Linked DNA regions of Arabidopsis thaliana. The protein of the gene in region 1 interacts with the protein of each later gene in a pairwise test. Each region holds a gene or a part of one and is shown on either strand. Other genes may lie near its edges.

Region 1 (5,873 bases):
GGTCTTTTCTATTCCTTTTCTCAATTTATTAAATATCTTTATTCGGTGAAAAAAATATACAGTATATTTCTTAGAAACTTTATAATAAGAATAAGGATTTTGTTTTTATATTTTCCTAAATTCCATAAATCTCTTAAGTTTACAAATTCATATATCTTTTAACATTTAAACAAATAACCAGACTTCTAGTAATATATATAAATTTATTTAGGGAGTGTTATTGGTTTGTGATGTATTCGAAGTTTCAGTGACTTAAAATGTTATGAAGAATTTGTTGTTATTCAATAAAGATTTTTCAATTTTTTGTTAAAGTTTGGTGTTATTAGTTTAAGATTTGTAAAAAGTAATATAAAATCTTCATAAATGTAGAGTTATTGGATTCATATTTTTATAAAGTTATTAAATTTTTTGTGTAATTCATTTAAAACAAAGAATCTATGATTATTATAATGAATTAAATTATTGTGTTATTGGTTTATGACTTTCTACCCTTTTTTTTATAAAATAAAGTTGTGAAAAATATCATACCCTTTTTTTTTACAAAATAAAGTTGTGAAAAATATCATAAAAATAAAGAAATTGTTTGAGAAACTTTACAAAATTATTAAAAACTAATCAACAAGTTTATTAATGACCTTAAACCAAAATAGGTACATATAATATTAGATAGATCATGCAAATGCGTTTGGTGGTTATGTTACTTTTGTATCATTTGATTGGCATGATGTTCTACATTTTTTTACCATTTCTCTATTCTTAAGTCGAAATCTTTAGGACCAAATAAGCATTTTTCCCTAAACTAACAAAGCAGCATCTCACTAGATGTTTTCCAATCAGATTTGCTTACTATAGTGTGCTAATATGAAATTTGAGTGACTCATGACAATGCATCAATCCAGATTAAGCATTAACATGTGATCAGCTAGCATTCATGAGAATATGAGAATTGTCTTCGAGCTAAAAGAAAGTAGACTCTTTTTTCACTTGAGAAACTCATGACATACTTTTTTTTTATATACATTTGTTTTTTGATGATTAGGTTAAACTTTTGTAATAAATAAATTTTTAGTTAAATAAATAAACTTCTATCATCAAAAGACTCGTGAGTTTCTTCCTATGTTGCAATGAAATGGAAACGAAAACGCGAATACGAAACGTTTCGGAAACGAGAAACGATTTTTTCTTAAAATTAGGGATTGGAAACGATTTTTTCTTAAAATTAGGGATTGGAAACGTATACACATACATACATATATATATATATATATATATAACATTAACATAAAACTATATTAAAGAAAAAATGGTTTAAACAATACAAGTCCAAAACATCAATATTAAATAAATAAACTAAAATTCTAAAAGATAAAAATTAAAAGGTTCAAGTTCAAATAGTTAATTTAGACCAACATTTTCATTTTCATTAGTTTCATCAAAGATAATATAAAGCTCTTTTCAAATCTGGTTTATCAAAAGAAATATCTTAAAACTCAAAGTCTTCCAAAATTAGTTATATGTATTAATAATTTTAATAATTTTAATTTTAGTTATTAAATTTTCAAAGTTGAAAAAAATTTGTCGTATGTCTATTTGGGAAACATGAGTTTCTATCTTTAAAACGTAAGTTTCCATCGTGTTTCCAAACATAAATTTTTAAAAAACGCGTTTCCGTTACGTTTTTCATGTTTCCGGAGAGTTTCTGTTTTCGTAACGTTTCGGAAATGGGAAATAGACCTCGGGGCGAGTTTCCATGCAACCTAGATTTCTTCTAACCAATAGAAATGCTCTTAAAAGCCTTTTTTTAAAAAAAATCAACAGAAATGCTCTTAAATGTTAAAAACAAATATTCATGCCAAATTTTGATGTAAAAATTTGTTATTTTCGCTTTAGTTGTGTCTTATTTCGGTCTGGTCATTTTCTCAAAGCCCTTTTAGTTATTTATATATATATTCTCTGTCTCGTATTTGTCCCCAAAAATCTAGGGTTTTAAGGTTTCTTATCCTTCCTCTTCCTCCGCCAGATTCTTTTCTTGCGAAGATGAGCAACGACAAGGACAGCATGAACATGTCCGATCTCTCCACCGGTAAGATATTATAATCTTATTGTCCTATAGAATGAGGCCTGGATTCTCTTTTGTTCTCTTGATTTATTGAAAAAAGCTTCTCTTGTTTTGTGTTTTGCTTATAGCTCTTAACGAGGAGGATCGTGCCGGGCTTGTTAATGCTCTTAAGGTGAGTTTTTTCTTCACGATATGATTTGCGTATGACTATCTGGAGATTGGGCTATTCATCTTTGTAACTTTTAGGGATTGTTTTCTCTTCCTGACTAGTTTTGAGAAATTGATTTGATTCTTATGGCTTAGAGAATTTGACTTTGGTTTTGAGGATTGTCTATGCATCTTAATTTGGTTGTTTGAAAGTTTGTGACTTTTCCTGATTTGATTTACGTGTTTGCTGCAGAACAAGTTGCAGAATTTGGCTGGACAACACTCTGATGTCCTTGAAAACTTGACTCCACCAGTCAGGAAGCGTGTCGAGTTTCTAAGAGAGATTCAGGTGAGTAAATTTTCAGCTTTTAGATGATCTTGGATTTTGTATTGGTTTTGAATTAGCTGGCTGTTCAGGTCTAATGAGTTTTTGGTGGAGCAAATTTATCTGATTCCTTTTGTATTTTAACCTTTGCAGAACCAATATGATGAGATGGAAGCAAAATTCTTTGAGGAGAGAGCAGCTCTTGAAGCTAAGTATCAAAAGTTATATCAGCCTTTATATACCAAGGTTTGAATACGGTCTTTGATTCTGCGAGATTCTTATGGTCTTTAGTTTCCTATTATTAGAATATCTTTGAAACACATGATGACACCTCAATTGATAAAGGTTTAATAAGACTTCTCTCTGTTGCTACTTACGTGAATGATTAGTGCTTCATGGTTTTCACTTCTTTCTGCATCATTCGTGATTGTAACTGATATTGATGGTCTTCTGCCTTCTGCATCACAGCGATATGAGATTGTGAATGGTGTGGTCGAAGTTGAAGGTGCAGCTGAAGAAGTAAAATCCGAACAAGGAGAAGATAAATCAGCTGAAGGTGTGTTTATCGATTCTTTTACTGAAACATGTTTATTTTTAGTATCTTATGATGATGATGGTGAACTCATGATTTTTATATGATATGAAACTGTCTTTCTGCAGAGAAAGGAGTACCAGATTTCTGGCTTATTGCATTGAAGAACAATGAAATTACTGCGGAAGAGGTTCGTTATTAGAATATTCTTCTTTTTGGTTTATAAAATGGCGATTCTCTTTATCATTATGTGGTTTTTTCCACGGTTTTAGATAACTGAGCGAGATGAAGGGGCTCTCAAGTATCTCAAAGATATCAAGTGGAGTAGGGTTGAAGAACCAAAAGGGTTCAAGCTTGAGTTTTTCTTTGATCAGAATCCTTACTTCAAGAACACTGTCTTGACCAAGACATATCACATGATTGATGAAGATGAGCCTATCCTTGAGAAGGCCCTCGGGTAATGTTTTGCTCTATCAAGTATTTACTGTTTATGTTCTGAAGACAATAAGTCTTTATTGACTGTCGTTTACTGCTGTTCAGGACGGAGATTGAGTGGTATCCTGGAAAGTGTTTGACACAGAAGATTCTAAAAAAGAAGCCAAAGAAAGGATCCAAAAACACAAAGCCGATCACTAAGACTGAGGACTGTGAGAGTTTCTTCAACTTTTTCAGTCCACCTCAAGTTCCTGACGATGATGAGGATCTTGATGATGACATGGTATTTCCATCTCCATAAGCAGTTTAGTTTTTAGAGTCAGTAATTAAGATTGTGTTGGATTTTAATCTGATCATCTAATATTCACAGGCTGATGAACTCCAAGGACAAATGGAGCATGATTATGATATCGGGTGTGTACCTTTCTATTTCATATTCAGTTCTCTTCACTTAGTTCAGTTCTAGGATCTGAGTCTGTCCACTGTTTATCCTGTAGTTCAACAATCAAAGAGAAAATCATCTCGCATGCTGTGTCATGGTTCACTGGTGAAGCTGTTGAGGCAGATGACCTTGATATTGAGGACGACGATGATGAGATTGATGAAGATGATGATGAAGAGGACGAGGAAGATGATGAGGATGACGAGGAGGAGGATGATGAGGATGATGACGAGGAGGAAGAAGCAGATCAAGGAAAGAAGAGCAAAAAGAAGGTAAATTATGTGGTTTTGTTCTACTTAAAACCTTCCTACATAGGAAACTAAAACCTCTGAAACTGATTTGGTGGTTTATCTTTTGTTTTGTTGCAGTCATCAGCTGGGCACAAGGTTTAACAATCAATCAATCTCGATCTTTTTTTTTTGTTGATAATGCAATGGCTAACCTGAGGTATCCTTTTTTAATGAACAGAAGGCTGGAAGAAGTCAACTTGCGGAAGGTCAAGCAGGTGAGAGGCCACCGGAATGTAAGCAGCAGTGAAGAAGTGAAGAATCTTGGCTTAGTTATGATGAAGAAGAAGAGTGAAGAGTGTCTTTGAGCCGAGGTTGTGTTTCTTTAATTTGCAGAGTCATGGTCCGGTTTATTATATATCAGTTTTGGGTGATTGGTTTGCTATTTAAAAAAAAAAAATGGGTTCTTTGGTTTGGTTTGTGTCTCTTGATTTTTCCTTTTGTAATGATCTTATGAATTTGTTTCGAGTTAATGTCGTTCTCTGGTCAGATTTCGAATTCAATTCTATTTATCCTCCCTCGTTAATGAGAGAATTTGTGAGACAATCTAGTTTACTTAAGATTGATCGAATTTTATAAACCAACATTACCAAACCGTCAAATAATTAAAACCAATCAATCTTATTTATCGGTTTGCATAACCCATCAATGAGCCGGTTTAGACATCGGTTTGAGTTTCTCTGGGAAAGACAAAAGTCAAAAACATCTCTGCCGACTTGTAAAAGACCGATCAACAGAAACCCAAAAAAAATAGTTGAAACGGAGGGAAACGAAAACCTAAAACCCTAAAAAACTCTTCCTTTTTTTTTTCCAGTGAAATTTCTCTTCTTCTCCGTTTTCATACAAGTCTGACTTCTGGGTAGTTGGAATTTTCCAGTTTTTGGTTTGTTTCTGTATCTGTGGTTTAAAAAAGTGGAGAAGAAGCTTTTTAGTGCTTTTCTATGGCGAGGATTCTCCGAAACGTTTATTCACTGAGAAGCTCTCTGTTTTCGTCAGAGGTATGTTTATCGTGTTTCTCATTTGGGTATTACGAGAAATTAAAAAAACTCTGTTACTGTCGTTTTCATTGCTTATTTGGGTATTCATTCATGAGAAAGAATCCGAAATGTTGTCTCTTAATTTGAATTCATTCTTTTTTTCTGGGTAATGTTTATTGACAAGGGTTTCATGGGGTTTTGCAGTTACTTAGAAGAAGTGTGGTTGGAACATCGTTTCAGCTCCGAGGCTTTGCTGCCAAAGGTTGTCTTAAGCTTTTACCTTTTGTTTCTATGAATCGATTTTACTCAAATTGGTTTTTGATTTTGATGAATATATGTATTTCCACAGATTACTAGAGCTAAATCCGTTTGCGTTTCTGATTGCTTAGCTCACTGTGGTTGTTAAAGTTGAGGTTTTTGCCATTAACTCTGCAATTGTTTTTGTTTTGAAGCTAAAAAGAAATCCAAGTCAGATGGAAATGGATCATCTGAAGAAGGTATGTCGAAAAAGGAGATTGCTCTTCAGCAAGCACTTGATCAGATTACCAGTTCATTTGGCAAAGGGTCCATAATGTATCTCGGTCGTGCTGTTTCTCCTAGAAATGTCCCGGTTTTCTCTACCGGATCTTTTGCCCTTGATGTAGCTTTGGGAGTTGGTGGCCTTCCTAA
Region 2 (5,473 bases), on another chromosome or scaffold:
TCTTTTGTTTTGTTGGAATTCTGGTGTGGTGATCGTCTTTTGTCATCTGCTTACTTGGTGTCTGGTGATTGTGTCTTCTGATCGTCTATTACCAGCCGCACTTTGTTTGACCCTTGCTTGAAAGTATTCGAGCACACGCATGCACACATCACAACACAGATATATTAGTATTAAAAGAATGAGCATACATAAATTGTTGTATGAAAACGACACGACTCAGGTGATACTTGGAGTTTGAATGATGAGCATATATCGGGTTTTACTTGCGCTTAATGCATAAGCATAAACGTACTGTACTCTTTATAATATCGTATTGTAATGTCAGTAATATGTACCAACAATTCTCTTGTTGGATGATTCTTTTTGGGTACCGTGATGTATGGGCTGGCTTTACCAAGGAGATAGGTGTGACACTTGTTCCCCCATAGATTTATCAATTGTTCTTAGTCCCATTGATTTTATTTGAGATTTGCTACTTCAAAATTCAAATGGTGAAATCTATCCAACTACCCTTTTGAATCCACACATATAATACACAAAAGTTCATTAAACAATATTAAAATGTCAAATGAAAAAAAAAGTTCTTCTAAAAAAAAAAAAAAAACATTAACTATATGTAAAACCACTAAATATCTTTAAAATTATCGCTCACTTTGTATCCTTTACATTACCCGTTAAAAATGCTTGTTTGTTATAAATTTTGCATTAAACAATTATAAATTCTAGTTTTTCATATTTTAAATTTTCTTAAATTCATCGTTCACTATTTATCATTTTTATTATAATGTTTAAATAAATAACGCTTCTTTGTACAAAACAAATTAAAATTTGCAATCAATACTTACTAATTGCATGTTTTTCCATATTTTGAAAATTTTAAAACTTATCTTTCATCATTTAATATTTCAATTATTCTTTTAAATATATCACGCTTATTTGTGATACAAGACAAAAGAAAAATGTATTTAGCACTTGGTAAATATATTTTTCCATATTTTATTTTTTTCATAAAGTTATCTTTCATCATCTATAATAAGAGGTTTACATTTATTTGTTATTTTTGTTTTACGTCGTACATTTATATATATATATATAGATATATATATATATATATATCAAATATTTTGTTAAAATGCAACTAAAGTTAAAATTTAATTCAAATGTAAATATCATACATTACTGTTTAAAAATATTTTAATGTCTTGTAATTTTTCCTTAATGAAAAACATATTTGATGTATCATTTTGTGATTAAGTTAAAGGGTCGCAAATAGATATATACTCTAACAAAATTCACAGAAAATATAAATTTGAAACTAAATTTTATGTAAATGTATCGATTTCAAATCCTAAACAGAGGACATAGAAGTTAGTAATTGCATTTGTTTTGCCATACTCATCTCAATACATCTCTTACTTATCATACACTCTTTAATGGAGTTTGTTACATGGGTTACTTAATGTAACAGTGTTTGCTATATACTTCATTCGATGTTATTCTAAAATCAACAAAATTGTTTTACACTGAAAGCGAGGAGTTCTTTTCAGAAAAATAATTTAAAATTTTGGCGGTCCATTTTTAAAATTTTGGTGATTTTTTATTACATTGGAGCGAAAATGTAGCAAAATTCTAAGAGGCAAAAATGAAAAAAATCAAAGTAAAGAAACACAAAATCCTTAAAATAAAAGACAAAATGATATGACACGTCATCGATCCTCGTCAAAACCGTCGATAGAAAACAAATCAACGGTTAGATTTAATAGTAATCTTTCTTCTCATCCTTTCGTCTCTACTCCTCCGCCTCTCTCTCCCCAACCTAACTTTATTTATTTCTCTCACAAAAATTTTATTTTCACAAAAACAAAAAAATCAAAAGAGCTCTCAGAGCAAAAAACAAAAAAAAAGAAAAAAAAACCCTAAATCTAAATCTCACCTTCCACCTCTGTCTTTTTTTTTTTTGTTCTTTTTTTTTTTTTTACTGTATCTTCTCTTCTCTTTGCTCTGCAAAAATCTCACATCCATGGATCCATCTCTTGGTGATCCTCATCATCCTCCTCAGTTCACCCCTTTTCCTCATTTTCCCACCTCCAATCATCATCCTTTAGGACCAAATCCGTACAATAACCATGTCGTCTTCCAACCGCAGCCGCAAACGCAAACGCAAATCCCGCAACCGCAGATGTTTCAGTTATCTCCACATGTTTCAATGCCCCACCCTCCTTACTCCGAAGTAAGTTCAATCTTAAAAGCCTCTTCCTTTATAACTAAATTCAGTTACTTTTTTTTTTGTTACTAATTTTTTTTTTCTGTGTGTAGATGATTTGCGCTGCGATTGCGGCGTTAAACGAACCGGATGGTTCGAGCAAGATGGCAATTTCGAGATACATCGAGAGATGTTACACCGGTTTAACTTCTGCTCATGCTGCTTTGTTGACTCACCATCTCAAGACTTTGAAGACCAGTGGTGTTCTTTCTATGGTTAAGAAATCTTACAAAATTGCTGGTTCTTCTACTCCTCCTGCTAGTGTAGCTGTTGCTGCTGCTGCCGCCGCTCAAGGTCTCGATGTTCCCAGATCTGAGATTCTCCATTCAAGTAACAACGATCCCATGGCTTCTGGCTCTGCTTCTCAGCCTCTGAAACGAGGTCGTGGTCGTCCTCCTAAGCCTAAACCTGAATCTCAACCACAACCACTACAGCAACTTCCACCGACCAATCAAGTCCAGGCTAACGGACAGCCAATCTGGGAACAGCAGCAAGTTCAATCACCTGTTCCGGTTCCGACTCCGGTTACAGAGTCGGCGAAGAGAGGACCTGGTCGTCCAAGGAAGAACGGTTCTGCTGCTCCTGCTACTGCACCAATCGTTCAAGCTTCGGTTATGGCTGGAATTATGAAACGTAGAGGTAGACCACCGGGTCGTCGAGCTGCTGGGAGACAGAGGAAGCCCAAATCCGTTTCTTCTACTGCCTCTGTGTATCCTTATGTTGCTAATGGTGCTAGACGCAGAGGAAGGCCTAGGAGAGTTGTTGACCCTAGCAGTATTGTTAGTGTTGCTCCAGTAGGTGGTGAAAATGTGGCAGCGGTTGCGCCAGGGATGAAGCGTGGACGTGGACGACCACCTAAGATTGGTGGTGTTATCAGTAGGCTTATTATGAAGCCTAAGAGAGGACGAGGACGTCCTGTAGGTAGACCCAGAAAGGTAAATTTTCACATCCCCCAATTCTGTATTCGTGATCTCGATTTTGCAATATCTGACGTTTACTGTGCATGATTGTTCACTGCTCCGCCGTCAATTTAGATTGATAAAGTTTGATACTTGTGTTGCAATCATTGTGGAATTCAAACTCAATGTCACTTTCCGCTTTTGAGCATTGTTGTCTGTTTTCGCGTATCCAAAATCTGACTAGTATCTAGTGTTTTTATTATATTTTCGTGTCCCTTACTTTTGGCTTATCCTTATCTGGTTTCTCTGTTTTATTTTAATTTTCGTTTGGATAATTAAGACCAAAATAGTCGGTAATGTATCGCTATAGCTAGGAATAATTTTATCATCAATTAGTGTGTTAATCCGGCTTAATGGTTTCTAAGTCATCACATAGTGTCTTCTTCTCTGTATCTTCTATTTTACTAGTAACGTGTTCAATTGGATCTAAAGTAAGACTTCTTAATTTAACCATTAATGTCTTTCTTGAATATGTTATACTTTTATCCAACAATTTTATTTTTTGGTTCATGAACCTAGATTGGAACATCAGTCACGACTGGGACACAAGATTCTGGAGAACTCAAGAAGAAGTTTGATATTTTTGTAAGTCTACTTGTTGACAATAAACAGTTTGGCTGTCCTTTATTTGATTAAAGTATTCGATTCTACTTGCTTATGTTTGGTTTTTGTATGTAAATGATTTCAGCAAGAGAAAGTGAAAGAAATTGTGAAGGTGTTGAAGGATGGAGTTACAAGTGAGAATCAAGCAGTGGTGCAAGCCATAAAAGATCTGGAAGCACTAACAGTGACGGAGACCGTTGAGCCACAAGTTATGGAAGAAGTGCAGCCAGAGGAGACTGCAGCACCACAGACTGAAGCTCAACAAACTGAAGCTGCTGAGACACAAGGAGGACAAGAAGAAGGACAAGAAAGAGAAGGAGAAACACAGACCCAGACAGAAGCAGAGGCAATGCAAGAAGCTCTGTTCTGAAGAATAATAATGATCTAGAAAACAACCTAGACATAATAGCCTTGGTGTTTGGCGTTAGGAGTGTTTTTTTTTAGTTGTTTTAGGTGTTGGAATCGCATCTTAAATTATATAAAAATCTATAAGGAATTTTAATTTTTCTAGGTTTTGTTGTCTGCAGAAGAAGAAATAGTAGACTCGTTAATGGTGTTGTTGTCGGTGTGTCTTTAACCAAACCATAAGACGTGGCTGTAAATTAGCGATGTTTCTAGTCTTCCATCTTTAATAATCTCTTATTGCGTCTGTGCCTTTGTTTTTTTCAATCTGTCTTCTGCTCTCTGCTTCCGCTTTGCACATTGTGGAGATGTTTTCGTGTCTATTTTCCACCCAACGGTTTTAGCAGGTCGACTCTTACTTAATTTCTTACTAATAATATCTTCATTTCCATCTCACGTTGGCTCAAAAAGCTATATAACTTTGACTCGAAAACATGTTAGAGTTAACACAACAGTCGAACTCAGAATCGAAATTGCAGTCCAAACGAAGTAAATATAAAATGAAATATATCGATATTCACAGCCCATACGACCGAGGCCTAAAAAAGAGTGAGTCAATGGCCCATTTGACCAGCAACTAAAATGATTGTCCTCTCGGGCCTCTCTCTTTCTCTTCCCTCTAAAACATTTTGATATTCTCTTCGACCAGATCAATTTTTCGGTTAGGGTTCTTCGCCGAACCATTGGCTACTTTGCTAGATCTCTGAAGGTGTAAAAGAGCTATGGAGAATGGGAAAAGAGACAGACAAGACATGGAAGTGAATACCACACCGAGGAAGCCTCGTGTACTACTCGCTGCAAGTGGAAGCGTCGCTGCTATCAAATTCGGCAATCTCTGCCATTGCTTCACCGAATGGGCAGAAGTCAGAGCCGTCGTTACGAAATCATCTCTACATTTCCTCGATAAACTCTCTCTCCCACAAGAAGTGACTCTGTATACTGATGAAGATGAATGGTCTAGCTGGAACAAGATCGGTGATCCTGTCCTTCACATCGAGCTTAGACGTTGGGCTGATGTTTTAGTCATTGCTCCTTTGTCTGCTAACACCTTAGGCAAGGTAATTTAACAAATCGACGAAAACCCTAAACCAACTACTTAGATTCAATTGTGTGACTTGTGAAAACATTCATGGAGGATTCAATTCATACAATATATTTTTGTTGTACCTTTGTAGATTGCTGGTGGGCTTTGTGATAATCTTCTGACTTGCATTATACGAGCTTGGGACTATACCAAACCACTGTT

The links.
Region 2: the proteins of NAP1;2 (region 1) and HON4 interact in a two-hybrid assay, tested with the Arabidopsis thaliana proteins (one study listed by BioGRID).

Annotation. Positions count from the first base shown.
Region 1 is NC_003071.7:8,436,564-8,442,436, forward strand, and holds NAP1;2 (nucleosome assembly protein 1;2), read left to right. Parts: upstream 1-1,892; 5' UTR 1,893-2,037; coding exon 2,038-2,083; intron 2,084-2,187; coding exon 2,188-2,231; intron 2,232-2,459; coding exon 2,460-2,555; intron 2,556-2,684; coding exon 2,685-2,777; intron 2,778-2,999; coding exon 3,000-3,087; intron 3,088-3,191; coding exon 3,192-3,253; intron 3,254-3,335; coding exon 3,336-3,520; intron 3,521-3,603; coding exon 3,604-3,781; intron 3,782-3,868; coding exon 3,869-3,912; intron 3,913-3,995; coding exon 3,996-4,212; intron 4,213-4,308; coding exon 4,309-4,326; intron 4,327-4,408; coding exon 4,409-4,477; 3' UTR 4,478-4,938; downstream 4,939-5,873. Other genes in the region: RECA2 (recA DNA recombination family protein), read left to right, coding at 5,169-5,225, 5,409-5,466, 5,657-5,873. UniProt on the Arabidopsis thaliana protein: May modulate chromatin structure by regulation of nucleosome assembly/disassembly. May function in nucleotide excision repair (NER). Involved in somatic homologous recombination.
Region 2 is NC_003074.8:6,168,106-6,173,578, reverse strand, and holds HON4 (winged-helix DNA-binding transcription factor family protein), read left to right. Parts: upstream 1-1,573; 5' UTR 1,574-2,020; coding exon 2,021-2,230; intron 2,231-2,316; coding exon 2,317-3,198; coding exon of another isoform or gene 3,199-3,270; exon of another isoform or gene 3,271-3,653; intron 3,654-3,741; coding exon 3,742-3,807; intron 3,808-3,910; coding exon 3,911-4,195; 3' UTR 4,196-4,616; downstream 4,617-5,473. Other genes in the region: HAL3A (HAL3-like protein A), read left to right, coding at 4,950-5,285, 5,403-5,473.